Linked DNA regions of Saccharomyces cerevisiae S288C. The protein of the gene in region 2 purifies or fractionates together with the protein of the main gene of each other region. This does not show direct contact. Each region holds a gene or a part of one and is shown on either strand. Other genes may lie near its edges.

Region 1 (5,654 bases), on a different chromosome or scaffold from region 2:
GTGCAGCATCAACATTTGGGCCCAACTTTACGATTTGGCCGGCTGCATCACAGCCTAAGAGGGCACCTTGAGGACCAATCTTGAAATCAATATGTTTCCAATCGGTAGGGTTACCGGCAACGGCGACAGTCTTAATTAGAACAAATCCTTCTTCTAATTCAGGAATTGGAATGTCCTGTTTGACTACAGCCTTGCCATTTTCAATGACAACGGCTTTCATGGTTTCTGGAATCGAGGCGGACATGCTTGATATGCAGTATGATATTGCTTTTTGCTGTGTATAGTTAACGATTTTTTTTCAACTAGAATTACAGTACTAATCAAGAAGTGAGAGGAAGAAAACGGCAAAAAAAAAACTCTCTCCTTTTAAATCGAAGCATTGCCGAAATACCTTAAAAACGGTCTTAAATCCTTAACATCTGTCCTTACTAATCGATGCCAATCCAACGGAGGGAGCCCATATGCTAGGTACTAAGAGTACGCAGGGGCGGAACCGCGCGACAACCGTAAGCGGATCCGAGGAACTTTAGTCAGCAGGGGCTGTGATGACCATTAAAAAATTGCGGACACAGGTAGTGGAACGAGCAATCAATGTGATCAATTTGCCATTTCATTCCACGAAATGGTTTCCATTCTAAGCATGAATGCTTTGACGTTACGGGTGTTGGTTATTTCGGTTCTTTTTATTGCTTCCGTGGGCACGTACGAGAAGGGAAGATGAATAGAAAAAGAGTTTCCGAGTTTTGTATGTCCAATGTTTACATAATTTATATAACTTGAAGTTTAATCTTGGCATAAAGCTCTAGTTGTGACGAAGTGTGTAGGCCATCACATCAGTTCTCCAGTTTTCTACCCAATTTTTTTATGGATACCTTGATTTTTGGTTTAGGGCTGGATGTCTTTACGCCCTTTATTTGTGTTTTACTGCCCAAACTAGTGCCGGTCTCTAAATATTTTTCTGTATTAGTAGTAGAATCGTTCTCCATTAGTAATGCTTTTTTTTTCTTTTCAAAATTGATTGCCTTGACGTCTAAGTAGTTATTCAGTTCTTTTTCCTTTTTTAGCAACTCATTCTTGCTCTTCTGGTAAAATTCCAGGTCCTCTTTACTCAACCTAGTAAAACTTTCACGGTCTCTCACCAAACCGTTATATTGTTTTTGTTTACTAATAGCATTAGACCTAAGCTGATCTCGCAGGGACTTCCTGGTTTTCCTTTTATATTCCGCTTCATATTTTTTTTGCTCCACTTGCTCTCGTATCCTCTGGGCCTCTACATTACCAACTCCTTCTGACACGAATTTCAGTGGTTTTTTCTCTCTTGCACTATTAGCATTATTATCACTGGTAGATGACATGATGATATAACAGAGCCCACAGTCTTTTGTTGGAACCGCTTTCTCTAGGCTTCGATGGACTTACATCTAATTGCACATTCTCGTGCGTTTAAACGTCATTTTTCCCTCAGATTGGCAGTGCATCAAAAGTAATTCCTAGGGACGACAAAAAGGCGGAAAAGGTTTCAGAAAAATAAGCGGACTTAGCTCAGTTGGGAGAGCGCCAGACTGAAGAAAAACTTCGGTCAAGTCATCTGGAGGTCCTGTGTTCGATCCACAGAGTTCGCAATTTGAAAAATTTTTTTTAATGATTACGCATGTGGATGTGTTCAGTATCAACCGATGCTCGCTTTTCCAATCAAATGATACAAGCCAGACCGAACATTGCATGTTTTCCATTGTAACTTCCCAGGTATATCTGAATTAGTTGTAAAAAGTAATAGTTTACCCGGAATCGTGTGAAAAATTTTGAAAAAAAAAAATGAAGAGCCAAGATACAATGAGATGAGATGAGGTGCTGAAGATGCATGGAGATTCTGTATTTATCTCAAATAAAGTACGCAATAGAGTATATAAGCCAAGTCACCTTTTATATTTCTTAGTTTTTAACTTGCAAAGACTTATAAGAGACTTATAAAACAAGGAGAAAATGGCCAAAAAAGCTATCGATTCAAGAATCCCGTCACTGATCAGGAATGGTGTTCAAACCAAACAAAGGTCCATATTTGTCATCGTTGGGGACAGGGCACGTAACCAGCTCCCAAATTTACATTATTTGATGATGAGTGCTGACCTTAAGATGAACAAGTCCGTCTTATGGGCTTATAAGAAGAAGCTTCTAGGATTCACTTCGCACAGAAAAAAAAGAGAGAATAAAATTAAGAAAGAAATTAAAAGAGGTACAAGGGAAGTGAATGAAATGGACCCTTTTGAATCTTTTATCTCTAACCAAAATATCAGATATGTATACTACAAAGAGAGTGAGAAAATATTGGGTAATACCTATGGTATGTGTATTCTTCAGGACTTCGAGGCATTAACCCCAAATCTTTTAGCAAGAACCATTGAAACTGTAGAAGGTGGTGGTATTGTGGTTATTTTATTGAAATCAATGTCATCGTTAAAGCAACTGTACACCATGACTATGGATGTTCACGCCCGTTATCGTACTGAGGCTCATGGTGACGTTGTTGCAAGATTTAACGAAAGATTCATACTTTCTTTAGGTTCAAATCCAAACTGTTTAGTCGTTGATGATGAATTAAATGTTCTACCGCTATCTGGTGCCAAAAACGTGAAACCACTACCTCCTAAGGAAGATGACGAATTGCCTCCAAAGCAATTAGAGTTGCAAGAATTAAAAGAATCCTTAGAAGATGTCCAACCAGCTGGTTCATTGGTTTCTCTATCCAAAACTGTCAATCAAGCCCACGCTATTCTTTCTTTCATTGATGCCATTTCGGAAAAAACTTTGAATTTCACAGTTGCACTAACAGCTGGAAGAGGTAGAGGTAAGTCTGCTGCTTTAGGTATTTCTATTGCCGCGGCCGTTTCTCACGGGTATTCTAATATTTTTGTTACTTCTCCATCTCCCGAAAATTTAAAGACTCTATTTGAGTTTATTTTCAAAGGATTCGATGCCTTAGGTTACCAAGAACACATTGATTATGATATCATTCAATCTACGAACCCCGACTTCAACAAAGCCATTGTGAGAGTTGATATTAAAAGAGATCACAGACAAACGATTCAATATATTGTTCCTCAAGACCATCAAGTTCTGGGCCAAGCTGAATTAGTTGTCATTGATGAAGCTGCAGCTATTCCTTTGCCAATCGTCAAGAACTTGCTGGGCCCATATCTAGTCTTCATGGCATCCACTATCAATGGTTACGAAGGTACGGGTAGATCTTTATCTCTGAAGTTAATTCAGCAATTGCGTAATCAAAACAACACATCCGGTCGGGAAAGTACTCAAACCGCCGTTGTTTCGAGAGATAATAAGGAAAAAGACTCTCACTTACATTCTCAATCCCGTCAATTACGTGAAATTTCCTTGGACGAACCAATCAGATATGCTCCTGGTGACCCAATTGAAAAATGGTTAAACAAGCTCTTATGTTTAGATGTTACTTTAATTAAAAACCCAAGATTTGCAACAAGAGGAACTCCTCACCCATCCCAATGTAATCTATTTGTTGTCAATAGAGATACTCTATTTTCTTATCATCCTGTCTCAGAAAATTTCCTGGAAAAAATGATGGCACTGTACGTTTCATCCCATTACAAGAATTCTCCAAACGACTTACAACTGATGAGTGACGCCCCAGCGCACAAACTATTTGTTCTTTTACCACCAATTGATCCAAAGGATGGCGGCAGGATCCCTGACCCTCTATGTGTCATTCAAATTGCATTGGAAGGTGAAATCAGTAAGGAGAGTGTCAGAAATTCATTATCGAGAGGCCAAAGAGCTGGTGGTGATTTAATCCCATGGCTGATCTCTCAACAATTCCAAGACGAGGAATTCGCTAGTTTGAGTGGTGCTCGTATCGTCAGAATTGCCACTAATCCTGAATACGCATCCATGGGCTATGGTTCTCGTGCAATTGAATTACTGAGAGACTATTTCGAGGGTAAATTCACTGACATGTCTGAAGATGTTCGTCCTAAGGATTATTCTATAAAGAGGGTGAGCGATAAGGAACTGGCCAAAACTAATTTATTAAAGGATGACGTTAAATTAAGAGACGCAAAAACGTTGCCACCTCTACTATTAAAACTTTCTGAACAGCCTCCTCATTATCTACATTATTTGGGTGTTTCATATGGTTTAACGCAATCGTTGCATAAATTCTGGAAGAATAACAGCTTTGTTCCTGTTTATTTACGTCAAACCGCAAACGATTTAACTGGTGAACATACTTGTGTTATGTTGAACGTTTTGGAAGGCAGAGAATCAAACTGGCTCGTTGAATTTGCCAAAGATTTCCGTAAAAGATTTCTGTCGCTTCTTTCTTATGATTTTCATAAGTTTACTGCCGTTCAAGCCTTAAGTGTCATTGAAAGTAGTAAGAAAGCACAAGATTTGTCTGATGACGAAAAGCATGATAATAAAGAATTGACGCGGACGCATCTGGATGACATTTTTTCTCCATTTGACTTGAAAAGATTGGATAGCTACTCAAATAATTTGCTAGATTATCACGTTATCGGTGATATGATACCCATGCTTGCTCTTTTGTACTTCGGCGATAAAATGGGAGATTCAGTAAAACTATCAAGCGTCCAGAGTGCTATCCTGTTGGCTATAGGGTTACAGCGTAAAAACATCGACACTATTGCCAAGGAATTGAATTTACCTTCCAATCAAACTATTGCTATGTTTGCGAAGATCATGAGAAAAATGTCTCAGTACTTCCGTCAGCTGTTAAGCCAATCAATTGAAGAAACTCTACCAAATATCAAAGATGATGCTATTGCTGAAATGGATGGTGAAGAAATCAAAAATTACAACGCTGCAGAAGCACTGGACCAAATGGAAGAAGATTTAGAAGAAGCCGGTTCTGAAGCCGTTCAGGCGATGAGGGAAAAACAAAAAGAGCTAATCAACTCCTTGAACTTAGATAAATACGCCATAAATGATAACAGTGAGGAATGGGCTGAATCTCAAAAATCTTTAGAAATAGCTGCCAAGGCCAAAGGCGTCGTCAGTTTAAAAACTGGTAAAAAGAGAACGACTGAAAAGGCTGAAGATATCTATAGACAAGAGATGAAAGCTATGAAAAAACCAAGAAAGTCTAAAAAGGCTGCAAATTAAGCGTTCTACTCTTTGTCAAACCCTTTTATAGCTAAACGTTTACTTAATTTGTACAATAATATAGAATAGAAACATAGTTGATGTTTGAACCTTTACATATTCCTTTCAATCGTGTCGAGCGATATAAGTATTACGATTATGCCGGCGAAAACTGAACCCGTTTTAGACAATTTCAATCAACATACTCCACTCCGTAGTGAGTAACTTTTGGAGTAATACGAAGTAACCAAAGAGGTCAAAACGGAACTATATACCCCAAAATAAGCATCATTCAAATGGTCGAATTAACTGAAATTAAAGACGATGTCGTTCAATTAGACGAACCACAATTTTCCAGAAATCAGGCCATCGTGGAAGAAAAGGCTTCTGCAACAAACAACGACGTTGTCGATGATGAAGATGACTCTGATAGTGATTTTGAAGATGAATTTGATGAAAATGAAACATTGTTGGACAGAATCGTTGCTTTAAAAGACATTGTCCCCCCAGGTAAGAGACAA
Region 2 (4,633 bases):
CTTCCAAGCACTATTTCAAACCCAGATGTCTTGCAGATGGTAGATCCAAATGTAACCATGAATACCATATACGTACCACCTTTACGGAGGCCTCCCAGGGATGACTTAGGTGCCTCAATTCCTGATGGTGATTACTACGGAACTCGCTCTCAAATAGTTTTACTCGTGAGTAAGGATTCAACGAGAGTTACCTTTATAGAAAGGGTCCTTTATAGCTCAGATGAAGACGTGCGCAAGTATTCGGTAACCTCACCTAAGGAGGAAAAAAGGTTTAAATTCAAATTGTAAAAATCACAATCTTCCATTTTATTTCAAACTAGCTTTAAATTCCATCTTCTTCCCCTCAGAACATTCCGGTATCTCTTGTTGGACACATCTAATGTATATGATGTTTTCAAATTCTAAATGCCTGTTAGTTTATCAGTAACCACAGTAGACGCTATATATATTAGTTCCTTTTCTATATAGGTATTATACAATACAATCAAATTCATTGCATACTCAAATGTCCAAGTATTCCATGGTGTAAGTGGGTAAGGCTCGCTTCTGAGAAGTTCCGTTATCAAAGGTTGAGCTAGCAAACCCATGCTGAAAACCTTTCGTATCAATCAAATTCCACAATTCGGTATTTCTTTCAGCAATCTCAACTTGTTTGTCAATATATAAGGTTAAGTTCTCCAATAGAGCACCTTCTAATGAAAATAGCCCGATAGAATCTAGCACAAGGGACAAGAGTTGAAATAGCTGCGTGCTTTGGCTAGGGTTGAAGCATTCTGGTGAGCTGTCTTCACCACCGCTTGTTATGAACTCAATGAAATTTTGAACGTCTAATTTACTTAGTTTCTTCATTTCTTGTTTAATAGAGTCTCTGGTGAAATCCTGCAAAATCCTAAATGAGATATCAAGTAATAGTTCCCTGTTTCTGATAGAAAACAATTCTTCAAGTAGTTCATTTAATGGCAAGTTTGGGCATGTTACAATTGCTTGTTTAAATAATCTAGGTTGGTCTCTTAGTAAGGATAGCAAGTTGCGTGTACGACTCAATGGAAACAATGGGTGTGTCAATAAAAACGTTAAAGTTTTTGGATAATCATTTCCGCTAAACTTTCCGAAAATTAGATCTAAAACTTTATTCAAAAAGCCAGGATCAGAAATATATCTATCTTTTTCAGTATAATGTTCTTCTTTGATTTTTAGTTCTTTGAAAAATATGTCATCAAATGATGTAATGTCATTATCTTGAAGGGCTGAAAGCTTTTCAATAACTTCATTACAGTGGAGGACTGGAACGCTTGAATCCCCGCTGACGTCGTTACATTTCACTCTCTTGTCATTTATGTCTTTATCATCAAATAGCGGCTTTAAAATAACTGAGCTATCATTATTTCCAACTTGAAAACTCTTGCCTAATGAGTCCTTCAACGTATTAGTTCCAACATCAATATTAATTATTTCTAAGGAAGACGTTGGGTTTGGTCCATTTTTCGTTGAAATACCAATTGCTATTGTTTTTGAATTATGCGACTTTTCTGAATTGATCACTGCAGATTTTAATAGTTGGAATGTTTTCACGTGAGTTAATTCTCTTTGGCTTAAAGTAGAACAATGCAGTAAGTCTAGTAGATAAATGACGTTGTTTACGGTCAGTAGAACTCTGTTTACTGAAACAGGTTGGAAAGAGATTAAGTCATCTCCAGGACTGAGTTTATCCACCATCGGAAATTCAATAACTTGTTGCAATTGGCAATGTGGTAAAGAGTAAATGTATATTTTCCCCTGGTTCAATTTGTAAAGTTTTCCAAATTGATAACAAAGCTTTGAATTTTCAAAAGAAAATCCTTCGATGATAGTAGATGATAATTCTTTTATGGGCGAACTTTCTCCACTGCCACAATCTGTTAGCTCGAGCAATTTATAGCAGACTTTATCATCCTGTAATGGACAGAGAACAAAAACATATTCAGTTCCATTTTCAGTGAACCATTTAGCATATTTTAAGTTATCATAAGATATATCAAATGAATGCAAAAGTGTTAACTTAAAATCAAAAATTTCAATCAACCCGTTCTGTAAAATTGCAATTACTAAGCTGTTCTTGGTGTCAATTTTAATACTCATGACTTTGGCTTTCGCCTTGATCTTATACTGAGATAAAAATTCGTCTGAACCCGTGTATGCTTTATTGTCAATATCACTCTCACTCAGATGGTCATTTGAGGTATCAGTGGTATCTTCCAGTGCCTTAGTGATAACATTTAGCGTATAATTACCCTTATTTACCATTAAACCAAAGGCCCAAATTTCAACATTTCTTTTTTTTTGGGTGTTGATAGTCTTCTCGTTGTTGGCTTCATCATCGGTACTGGCTTCTATATTTCCGTCAATGTTCGCTTGACCTTTCTCAGCATTGCATGCCGTGATAATATTTGTAGAGGGTATTGGGTAATCGAATGTTAACTTTGGTGTAGGATTAATAATATATTGAGATATAGATGACCCGGAAATACCTAACGTTATGTTATTTGTAGATTCATTAAAGGTGCCATCTGCGACTTGAACGTAATCTGCTTGTAAAGAAAAATTGCTCAATGAAGCAATTTTTGGGAGAGTTGCTAGTCTAAATGGTTGAGACAGGGATGGCATTTTGAATCTTTACTATCCTCCGGAATGATTTGCTGTTCAAGGAGCGCTAGGTGTGACATATAATATTACAAATTTAACAGTGACCTCATCTCATCAAAGTTTTCAAATTTTTCAGGCATCTGCTACAGCATAATGAAAAAATTTGAAAAATACAGACATTTCCGTGTAGAATGACAAAAAAGCTAGAATATTACTATATTTTCCTTAAAAGAGCAATATTTGCGATGAGGGGCTCTCAATGACAATGTTTGACTTCTCTATTGAACTGTAAGCGAAGCAAAACCATATCTTGTCAAAGTATTCGAAGAATGGATTTTTACAAATTAGACGAGAAGCTGAAGGAGTTGAAAAGGAAAAGAGTAGATGTATCTATAAAGAGTAGGAAGTTGGCTGACAGAGAGATTCAGGAAGTAAGCGCAAATCGAAAACCAAGAGTATACAGTATGGAAGACGTAAATGATGCAGATGAATCAGTAGGAGATACAGAAAGTCCTGAAAAAGAGAAAGCATTTCATTACACTGTCCAAGAATATGATGCGTGGGAACGTAGGCATCCTCAAGGGAAGACTGGGCAAAGCCAAAGAGGTGGAATTTCCTATGATCAACTTGCAAAATTGAGTTATGAGAAGACCTTGCGGAATCTCGCTACGCAAACACAGAATTCGAGCAAACAGGATAGTTCCGCCGATGAAGAAGACAATAAAAACGTACCCAAGAAGGGTAGAATCGGCAAGGTACAGAAGGACACTAAGACGGGTAAGATAACAATTGCAGATGACGACAAGCTAGTTAATAAGTTGGCCGTTTCTTTGCAATCTGAGTCGAAAAAAAGATACGAAGCAAGAAAAAGACAAATGCAAAATGCAAAAACACTGTATGGGGTTGAAAGCTTCATTAATGACAAAAATAAACAATTCAATGAAAAATTGAGCAGGGAATCAAAAGGATCAGAATAAGCTTCTCTTTTATTTAGAATATACCGATATAACCAAAGGAAAGTTTTAATACCCTGGATTTTTCATCGACCGTCACGTGACGAGCTGAGGTTAAATGCCCGCAAAAGTGCTTCAGAAGAGAGTCCATCTTACTCGGTTATTTGAGCACGAAACACTAGAGAATAACTAACTGGTTGATAAATTGTTGATTGAGTAAATATTGGTACATAAAACGGTTACAAAGAGAGGTAGATTAGGAAGGGTGAAAATAATCAAAGGATAACTTGATGATACTCGACAAAGAATAGAAGAGAAAAATAAAATAGAGGTGGGATATTCCTTGAACAAAAGTGGAATATTATTTTTTTTAGGCATACATGACGTCTTCCTCAGTATGATATTCATACAAGGAATCGTCCTTTGGAAGGACGCTCGTATTCTTTTGTGAACGGTCATTTGGTATTTTGTGGTTTTCAGCCGCGTGTATACCTTCAGCTTGTTTGTGCTGCCTACTCAATATTTCTTGCTTCAAGGCCTCATCAGCGTTTTTCTGGCGAGTTTGTTCCTCGATAGCCTTTTCAGCTTGTAATCGCGTTCTTTCCCTCTTGACTGCCTCCAGTTCTTTCTCTTCGGTTGCCAGCTTATCCTGTAGTTCAGTCAATTGGTCATTATAGGTTTGCTTGACTTGAGTAATTTGCTGCTCATGATCTAATTGAGCCTGATGCGCTTGTTCCTCCAGCTCTTGGCGCTGTTTTTCCAATAAGTTCTCTTCTTTGCGTTTTCTTTCTTCAGCTTCTAGCTTCAACTGTTCTTCATGAGCGCGGCGCTCATCTTCGAGTCTTTTGGTAATTGCCGATAGTTGAGTTTTTTCATTGGCGTTTTCCTGCTTGATTATGGTCACTTCGTTCAATAAGCTTGATATTTGATTATCAATATCATTAATTTGTGGAAGATATTCCTTGTTCTCTACACTTTCCAAAACTTGTACATTTTTTTCATGCAGCTTCTTATTTTCTTCAGTTTGGGTAACCAAATCCTCCTTTTTCTTTTCCAGA
Region 3 (5,186 bases), on a different chromosome or scaffold from region 2:
AAAAACCAAGGGTGTATAGTTTCGTACTATGAAAATCGAAGTTTTAAGCGGCAAAACACTTGTGTATAGATAATTGTAGTATTATTGTGGTATTTGGTATTTGCAGTATTTTCTTGGCGCTACGATGTGCTTTTTATTTTTGTTTGTTTTATTCTCCTATAGAGTAAGGAGACCTTATATTGTTTTTCTCTTGGTAGAAAGTTGACGCGCGAAGAAAAACATAAAAAAAACTGACAAGATACTACTATTATTAACCATATACACGGAAATACCCACAGAGTATACAAACACACATATATATATATATATATATATAATTTTAAAGATAAATTAGAAGTGTTCCCTTTCTCTTTTCTCAGGACCGGTCGTATCCCTCCGGTAGTTCATCAACCTCTACAACAGGGATCTGTACTGAACCTACCGCTCCCTGTGCCAGCTCTAGACGATATTGCAATTTGGATCTGATAGCTACATGCTCTGCCGTTGAGGTGTACCGCAGTCCTTGCTGGCACATTTGAATAGCCTGTGTATATTCACCCAGTTTGATCAGCGCCATGGCTTTGTTGCTGTACCCGACCGGGTTCTGCGGTTGAGCAGTAATTAGTTGGTCATAACAGTGCACAGCCTCGCGATACAGGCCCTGTTTGAACAAAGAATTGCCCTGTTCCTTCTGCTTTTCAAATTGGCTCATGCTCTTTACCGTTGCTCTCTCTTTCGCAGTGCTGAAAAGAAAAAACCGTTCAAGAAAATTGCGTCTTGTGCAGTCATATACGCTGGGATATATATATATATAGATATATATACATATATATAGGAATATGTAACAAGAAAAAAAAAAGAGAGAGGAAAGAAAAGCTCAATGGATGACGATCACGAACAGTTGGTCGAAGAACTGGAGGCCGTCGAGGCCATCTATCCGGATCTTCTCTCCAAGAAGCAGGAAGACGGAAGCATCATCGTTGTGAAAGTGCCGCAGCATGAATACATGACACTGCAGATCTCCTTCCCGACACACTACCCCTCCGAGGAGGCTCCTAATGTCATCGAAGTTGGTGTCTGCACTTCTTTGGCTAAGCGCGATCTCTACGATACCAAGTACCTTCAGCATTTGTTCCAGGAAGTGATGGACTCTGTTTTCCACCGCGGATCTGTCTGTCTATTTGACTTCCTCACAGAACTCGACGGTGTCTTGTACGTTGAACCAGAGGAGGAGACAGAACCGGTCCAGCAGAGTGACATTCCCACAGACCCCTTCGAGGGCTGGACCGCGTCGGACCCCATTACTGATAGAGGCTCGACTTTCATGGCCTTTGCAGCACATGTTACCTCCGAGGAACAAGCGTTTGCCATGCTAGACCTACTGAAGACCGACTCCAAGATGCGTAAGGCAAACCATGTCATGAGTGCATGGCGAATCAAGCAGGATGGCTCTGCGGCAACATATCAAGATTCCGATGATGACGGTGAAACGGCCGCCGGCTCCAGAATGCTGCACCTCATCACCATCATGGATGTGTGGAACGTCATCGTTGTGGTGGCCCGTTGGTTCGGCGGTGCCCACATAGGTCCCGACCGGTTTAAACACATCAATTCTACGGCAAGAGAAGCTGTTGTCAGGGCCGGCTTCGACTCGTAATCATTATGATTATGTCAAGCACCTGTAACCTTGATCACATGCGACGGGAGTTCTTTTTGAAATTTTTTGGAAAAATTTTGCGATGAGCTGAAAGATGAAAAAAAAAAAAGTTTCGAGTATAGTTCTAGGTATGTACAATAACTAGTATAATATCAATAATAGTAATAATAGTATCGTTTTCAACAGGTAGACAGGAGAGCAGACCGCAGATTGAACCGCATCCCAATGAAATCCGATTTCAAGTTCTCTAACCTTTTAGGTACGGTCTACAGGCAAGGTAACATCACCTTTTCCGATGATGGCAAGCAACTACTCTCACCGGTGGGGAATAGGGTCAGCGTGTTTGACTTAATCAACAACAAATCGTTCACGTTTGAATACGAGCATCGCAAAAATATTGCTGCCATTGATCTGAACAAACAAGGCACATTGCTGATTTCTATTGACGAGGACGGTCGCGCCATCCTTGTCAATTTCAAAGCCCGTAACGTGCTTCACCATTTCAACTTCAAAGAAAAATGCTCCGCTGTGAAGTTCAGCCCTGATGGGAGACTCTTTGCATTAGCCTCAGGCAGGTTTTTACAGATTTGGAAGACTCCAGATGTTAATAAAGACAGACAGTTTGCTCCCTTCGTCCGCCATAGGGTGCATGCGGGACACTTTCAAGACATAACGTCTTTGACGTGGTCACAAGATTCCAGATTTATCCTTACGACTTCCAAAGACTTAAGCGCAAAAATATGGTCCGTAGATTCAGAGGAAAAGAACCTTGCGGCGACAACATTTAATGGGCACAGAGACTACGTTATGGGTGCGTTCTTCAGTCATGATCAGGAAAAAATCTACACTGTAAGCAAAGACGGTGCTGTCTTTGTCTGGGAATTTACCAAGAGGCCATCCGATGACGACGACAATGAAAGTGAAGACGACGACAAGCAAGAAGAAGTAGATATTTCGAAATACAGCTGGAGAATCACAAAGAAACATTTTTTTTACGCAAACCAAGCCAAAGTAAAGTGTGTCACCTTCCATCCAGCAACAAGGCTTTTAGCTGTCGGATTTACTAGTGGGGAATTCCGTCTTTACGATTTGCCTGATTTCACTTTGATTCAACAGCTTTCTATGGGGCAAAACCCAGTCAACACCGTTAGCGTCAACCAAACCGGCGAATGGCTGGCGTTTGGTTCCAGCAAACTGGGCCAATTACTAGTTTACGAATGGCAATCGGAATCGTATATCTTGAAGCAGCAGGGCCATTTCGATTCCACAAATAGTCTTGCATACTCTCCGGATGGTTCACGTGTAGTGACAGCATCCGAAGATGGGAAAATCAAAGTTTGGGACATTACATCAGGGTTTTGTTTGGCCACTTTTGAAGAACACACCTCTTCAGTTACTGCTGTACAGTTTGCGAAAAGGGGTCAGGTCATGTTCTCATCATCGTTAGATGGTACGGTGAGAGCGTGGGACTTAATCAGGTATCGTAATTTTAGAACATTCACTGGTACTGAAAGAATCCAATTCAATTGTTTAGCGGTGGATCCATCAGGTGAAGTGGTTTGTGCCGGGTCCCTGGACAATTTTGACATTCATGTTTGGTCCGTGCAAACTGGTCAATTATTAGATGCTTTGTCCGGACATGAAGGCCCTGTTTCGTGTCTTTCATTTAGTCAAGAGAACAGTGTCTTAGCTTCTGCATCATGGGATAAAACAATTAGAATCTGGTCCATATTTGGTAGAAGCCAACAAGTAGAACCTATAGAAGTTTATTCCGATGTTTTAGCCTTATCAATGAGACCAGATGGTAAAGAAGTTGCAGTATCTACCTTAAAGGGTCAAATATCCATTTTCAACATAGAAGATGCCAAGCAGGTGGGCAACATTGACTGTAGAAAGGATATAATATCTGGTAGGTTTAATCAAGATAGGTTCACTGCCAAAAATTCTGAACGATCCAAATTTTTTACTACAATACATTACAGTTTTGATGGTATGGCTATTGTGGCTGGTGGTAATAATAACTCCATTTGTCTATATGATGTTCCAAATGAAGTCTTGTTAAAAAGATTCATTGTGTCCAGAAACATGGCTTTGAATGGTACTCTCGAATTTTTAAACAGTAAGAAAATGACTGAAGCAGGTTCATTAGATTTGATTGACGATGCAGGCGAAAATTCAGATTTGGAGGATCGTATTGATAATTCTTTACCAGGGTCTCAAAGAGGTGGCGACCTGTCCACAAGAAAAATGAGACCAGAGGTTAGAGTTACTTCGGTGCAATTCTCCCCAACGGCGAATGCATTTGCCGCTGCTTCAACGGAAGGTTTATTGATATATTCCACCAATGACACGATATTATTTGATCCCTTTGATCTGGATGTGGACGTCACCCCCCATTCTACTGTAGAGGCGCTACGAGAAAAGCAGTTTTTAAATGCATTAGTAATGGCGTTCAGGTTAAATGAAGAATATTTGATCAATAAAGTCTATGAAGCCATACCTATTAAGGAAATCCCCTTGGTTGCAAGTAATATTCCTGCAATATATTTACCGAGGATTCTGAAGTTCATCGGTGATTTTGCCATTGAATCCCAACACATTGAGTTTAACCTAATTTGGATCAAAGCTCTATTATCTGCGAGCGGTGGTTACATAAATGAACACAAATATCTCTTCTCGACGGCTATGAGGTCGATACAAAGATTTATTGTTAGAGTGGCTAAGGAAGTAGTCAATACCACTACTGATAACAAATACACCTATAGATTTTTGGTATCAACTGATGGGTCCATGGAAGATGGCGCGGCTGATGATGACGAGGTTCTATTAAAAGATGACGCAGATGAAGATAACGAAGAGAACGAAGAGAACGATGTAGTCATGGAATCTGACGACGAGGAAGGATGGATTGGTTTCAATGGGAAGGATAACAAATTACCCTTGTCTAATGAAAATGATTCCAGTGATGAAGAAGAAAATGAGAAAGAGCTTCCTTGAAAAATATTCACTGTCCTCTATTTATGCACATTCACATCATGTATTCCCCAAGTATAGAACTATATAAAGCATTACATTTGTATTTAATATCAACAAAAAAAAATATCATCGCCAATATCGATATACATCATGATGAGAGCGCCTAATATAAACTGAGGCTACCATTACGGGAGTCGTCCTTTGACTGACGAGGCTATTTTCCTTATATATAAGGCATCATCGCTTCAGTAAAAAAAAAAATAGGAAGGGAAAAAATGAAGAATTGATGGGATGAGGAAAAAATTTGACACAAATTTATCGACTACCGTTTCATACTATCATCGGGAGAACAATTACACTAAGCCTTATAAAATTATTGATTCATCAAAAAAGAAGATAACTAAATAACAATGCCTATGAACAATTTTCTAGATGAATTCAATTTATTTGATTCAATCATTACCATGATGAAGAACGACCCATGTTGCGTCGAGGATTATGAGCCAATCGTCGAAAACCTGAACCGTATATTTCAAAGGACGTTTAATGATGAAGAACATAGGAAATCAATGGC
Region 4 (4,665 bases), on a different chromosome or scaffold from region 2:
ATCCCGGCAAGAACTGGGATAACAATAATAATGGTGATGACATTAAGAACGGGACCAATAATGCTACAGCTAAAAATGATGACAATAATGGCAATAATGATCATGAATACGTACTAACAGAGTCTTTCCTTGATTCGGGCGCATTCCCTAATCATGATGTAATAGACCATAATAAAATGCTAAACTCAAATTACAATGGTAATGGCATACTCAATAAGGGTGGTGTCTTAGGACTTGTTAAAGAGTATTACAAGAAGTCTGACGTCGGAAGATAAGGCAGACTGTGTCGTGTACATCATCCAATATAACTATATATATAACTGTTTCCTTTCTTTTTCGTATTTACCTAAATGCATATATTATTCAGTTCCCACTAATTTTGTACTACAATAATAAGAGAATCCCTTCCCTGTTTTAGAAATGAGTAGTTCTTTTCTTTTTCATAAATAATACAGTTGTCTCTGAGAAGCCTAATAAGAAAAAAAGAGGTTAATAAATTATTATTATTGGTTATTTCTTTCCGCCACGTAGTTTTCTTTCTCTTTCATACTTGTTTTTTTCCGCACCTTCTTCGGTATTAATAGTGTTAACAATATGAGCCATCTTTGCATGGTAGTCGCTGCTCTCCTTGTTCTTTTCTTCAATTCTTTGTCTAGCTTCAAATTTGGCGTCTTTACGGATTTCTTTCATAGTGAATTTACGTTCCTTCTTTAGTTGGGCCTTCATCTTATTTATCTCACTTCTTGTTCTATCAGGATCGTACGATTTTTTATCAGGATTGAAGTTTTCTTCGTATTTAGGAGCATGCGTAGGTATGGATACGGGTTTGTGGTTCTGTAAAGCCAACGGAATATGTTCTGTGAATTTCGTTAATTTTTCAACTTTGTTCAAAATATTTCTTGGCTTTTCAAAATCAGAATACTTTGAGGTGTATGCACTTAATAACTGCTGAATCGGTAAAATAATTTCATTGAAAGCAGGTAAGCTCTTCCACACAGTAGAGATAGTTGCATCTAAAGATTCCATAACATTTAGTAAAACGGAGACACATTGATCAACCGGATGTGCCTCGGTATCCATTGTTGACAAGGTATGTAATGGAATAATAGTTGATCTCTTTTTTGTAAAGTCAACGTCCAATGGAAGCCCCAACTCGTAAGAGTCTAGTCTAATATTTTCAAAATCTAATGGTTTTTCTTGATTTTCTTTCTCAACTATAAAAGTGAGTAATATTTTTTGAAAGAAGTAAACCACCTCCGGTATGTACCGTTTGGAAATGCGTTGATATTGTGAAACAATCCTTACCAAGACAGCGCCAAAAGCTATCCTCTTTAAAGAATTAAACTTGATTTGTTCCAGGAACTGGCTCATTAAAATCAATGCTGGAGTTATTACTAAATGGTACTGGTCCGAGGTGGAGAAAAGAATACCAATAATGGAAAAAAATACCAGATCACCATTTGATAGAGCATCAAAATGGTTCTTTTTATAGCGTGCTTGCATTTCATTGATATAATCTCTACACTCCTCGGAAAGCTCTCTATTATATTTCTCTGAAAGGGATTTTAGAATTGAGATCAATGCATTTTGTGTACGTTTAAAACTTTGAACGTTTTTAAGGTAGTTTTGATTGCTTAGAAAAATGATGTGTCTCAGTAAAACAGCGGTGAATTTTCCTAACTTTTCCTTATTACCTTCAGCCAATTTTGGTTGGTAAGCTTTGATAATATTCTTAACAATCTTAGGATGATCATCTAAGTCTAATTTTTTTACTTGATCTAATAACGCATCATGAGTTCTAGGGCATGAAATGGAAATGTTCTTTTTCTTTAAAATTTGAGAAAACCCTTCATCTCTGCCTTGATCTTCAAATTTGATATCATCATCAGAATCAGCAATACCGTCATTATCGTCTTCATAGTCTTCTTCATTTTCCCAGAATCCATCATCCAAATCCTCTACTCCTCTTTCTTCGCCTTCTTCTAATTCAATCATACCGTTCATACGATCAAGACGCTGTTGTTCCAACTCCCGTTTTTTTTCTTCAGCTTCAGCGTTTTTCTCCTCTTCAGTTTTAGTTCTATCAGAGGGTGCAGCTCTTTTGTCCAATTGTAGTTCTTTCACTTTGATATCATACTCCTTATCTAGATCGGTCTTAGGTTCCATTGGATTCTTCTTGGGTTGCGTCATCATCAATTCAGACATAACATCCTCGAAATTATCATCCAGATTATCTATTTGATCTTCCATTATACCTTGAGCCTTTTGTCTTTCTTGTTTGTAAAATTTTGATTTGGCAATGACCTCTTTCATGACTTCAGCTTTGGTTTTTTTTCTTTGAGGTTGCTGTAGCTCAGCATCATCTTCATTGAATCGTTTGGAAGCTAAAAAATCCTCTTCATCATTGGCAAGCTCATCTTCTAGGGACAGCGATTGACCTAAATGTGTAAGACCGTCTCCAAACATGTCACCGTCGTCTTCATCGTCTTCAAGATTGAATAAATTTGCGTTTCTCTTTGATTGGCTTTGTCTTTCTCTGGTGAAACGTTCCAACATTTTTTCTTCTTCCGTCAACAACTTGTCTCTTTCACCAAATCTCTTATCGATCACACCACCACGTTTATTCTTCATCATTTTTCTTGCTTCAAATGCACGCTTTCTTTGTTCTTCACCGATCTGTTTAGAGATACCAGGCTTACCCACAGCAATACGATCAGCAGTTTTAGAAGGCAGACCATCTCTCCTCTTATTCCTTGCAGCCTTTATTTCAAACGGATTAAACTCTTCTCTGATTTCAGCAATGGCCTTTTTTTTTTCTTCACGATCATACTCCTTCGCTTGTCTTTTGGAATTCTTTTTATTCTTACTTTTGACGTTTGTTTGACCTGTGAGTCCACGGGCCTTCAAGGCGGCCTTTAAATTCTTAAGTTGTGAACCGGCCATGTATTTGATCTTCCCTTTTATTTGCTTCTCAACTGTACTATTTACAGTAATAATTAGTGCAACCTTCAGATGCTTCTCGCTAAATGCTCATCTCTAAATTATCATTATTATTCCTAATAAATCCTAAAATTTTTCACTCGTTCTGTACGGCTCATCGCCCCAATATTACCCGTCTTGTATGTGATCTTTTTGACTTTTCGGTGGCAAAATGCAAAGGGGAATCCAAGGAAAAACCATAACAGGACACTACATCAGAGATAATCTTGAATTAAGAGAGTAGAGGAATATACTGCTGGGCTCACTACCATTTTTGTTGCTAGAGTAAACGTAGAGAAAGATGTCAAGAGATGCACCAATTAAGGCTGACAAGGATTATAGCCAAATTTTGAAGGAAGAGTTTCCTAAGATCGATTCGCTCGCTCAAAATGATTGTAACTCTGCTTTAGACCAACTGTTAGTGTTGGAGAAGAAAACCAGACAAGCTTCAGATCTGGCCTCCTCGAAAGAAGTTTTGGCCAAGATTGTAGATCTGCTAGCATCAAGGAATAAGTGGGACGACCTAAATGAGCAATTGACTCTACTCTCAAAAAAGCATGGTCAGTTGAAATTGTCAATTCAGTATATGATACAAAAGGTTATGGAATATTTGAAAAGCTCGAAATCTTTGGATTTAAACACCAGAATTAGTGTCATTGAAACTATCAGGGTGGTTACAGAGAACAAAATATTTGTAGAAGTGGAAAGAGCTAGGGTCACCAAAGATTTGGTGGAAATTAAGAAAGAAGAGGGTAAGATTGATGAAGCTGCAGACATCTTGTGTGAGTTACAGGTTGAGACCTATGGCTCCATGGAAATGTCTGAGAAAATTCAGTTTATATTAGAGCAAATGGAATTGAGTATATTAAAAGGTGATTATTCCCAAGCCACGGTGCTTTCAAGAAAAATTCTGAAAAAAACTTTTAAAAATCCAAAATACGAGTCATTGAAGCTAGAATATTATAATCTTCTGGTAAAAATTAGTTTGCACAAGAGAGAATACCTAGAAGTTGCGCAGTATCTGCAAGAAATTTATCAAACAGACGCCATTAAATCAGATGAGGCTAAGTGGAAACCTGTTTTATCGCACATTGTATATTTCTTAGTCCTTTCACCTTACGGCAATTTACAAAATGATTTAATTCACAAAATCCAGAATGATAACAACCTGAAAAAATTAGAAAGCCAAGAATCTTTAGTAAAATTGTTTACTACGAATGAGTTGATGAGATGGCCAATTGTTCAAAAAACCTATGAGCCCGTCTTAAATGAGGATGATTTGGCATTTGGTGGAGAAGCTAATAAGCATCACTGGGAAGATTTACAAAAAAGGGTCATCGAGCACAATTTAAGAGTCATTTCCGAATACTATTCCAGAATTACTTTACTAAGATTGAATGAATTGCTGGACCTAACGGAGAGCCAGACGGAAACATACATCAGTGATTTGGTAAACCAGGGCATCATATACGCTAAAGTTAATCGCCCAGCCAAAATCGTGAATTTTGAAAAACCAAAAAACTCAAGCCAATTATTGAACGAATGGTCACATAATGTTGACGAACTATTAGAACATATAGAAACAATAGGCCATTTAATTACAAAAGAGGAAATCATGCACGGTTTGCAAGCTAAATGAAGAGATTTTCGAGTAAGTGTCGGATTATCTCAGATCCGGTTTTGATT

Evidence for each region.
Region 1: the proteins of UTP8 (region 2) and KRE33 purify together in Saccharomyces cerevisiae (affinity purification with mass spectrometry; 3 studies listed by BioGRID). This does not show direct contact.
Region 3: the proteins of UTP8 (region 2) and PWP2 purify together in Saccharomyces cerevisiae (affinity purification with mass spectrometry; 7 studies listed by BioGRID). This does not show direct contact.
Region 4: the proteins of UTP8 (region 2) and NOP14 purify together in Saccharomyces cerevisiae (affinity purification with mass spectrometry; 4 studies listed by BioGRID). This does not show direct contact.

Annotation. Positions count from the first base shown.
Region 1 is NC_001146.8:373,338-378,991, forward strand, and holds KRE33 (ribosome biosynthesis protein KRE33), read left to right. Parts: upstream 1-1,983; coding exon 1,984-5,154; downstream 5,155-5,654. Other genes in the region: YNL134C (uncharacterized protein), read right to left, coding at 1-244; FYV6 (Fyv6p), read right to left, coding at 834-1,355; TOM22 (Tom22p), read left to right, coding at 5,430-5,654. UniProt on the Saccharomyces cerevisiae protein: RNA cytidine acetyltransferase with specificity toward both 18S rRNA and tRNAs. Catalyzes the formation of N(4)-acetylcytidine (ac4C) at positions 1280 and 1773 in 18S rRNA.
Region 2 is NC_001139.9:747,449-752,081, forward strand, and holds UTP8 (Utp8p), read right to left. Parts: upstream 2,644-4,633; coding exon 502-2,643; downstream 1-501. Other genes in the region: YGR127W (uncharacterized protein), read left to right, coding at 1-288; SYF2 (Syf2p), read left to right, coding at 2,952-3,599; YGR130C (uncharacterized protein), read right to left, coding at 3,946-4,633. UniProt on the Saccharomyces cerevisiae protein: Involved in nucleolar processing of pre-18S ribosomal RNA. Also has a role in nuclear tRNA export. It acts between the steps of tRNA maturation/aminoacylation and its subsequent translocation out of the nucleus.
Region 3 is NC_001135.5:219,904-225,089, reverse strand, and holds PWP2 (snoRNA-binding rRNA-processing protein PWP2), read left to right. Parts: upstream 1-1,861; coding exon 1,862-4,633; downstream 4,634-5,186. Other genes in the region: TAH1 (Tah1p), read right to left, coding at 356-691; YIH1 (Yih1p), read left to right, coding at 860-1,636; CTR86 (Ctr86p), read left to right, coding at 5,023-5,186. UniProt on the Saccharomyces cerevisiae protein: Required for bud-site selection and cell separation. Also involved in nucleolar processing of pre-18S ribosomal RNA.
Region 4 is NC_001136.10:187,644-192,308, forward strand, and holds NOP14 (snoRNA-binding rRNA-processing protein NOP14), read right to left. Parts: upstream 2,944-4,665; coding exon 511-2,943; downstream 1-510. Other genes in the region: autophagy protein ATG9, read left to right, coding at 1-275; proteasome regulatory particle lid subunit RPN5, read left to right, coding at 3,281-4,618. UniProt on the Saccharomyces cerevisiae protein: Involved in nucleolar processing of pre-18S ribosomal RNA. Has a role in the nuclear export of 40S pre-ribosomal subunit to the cytoplasm.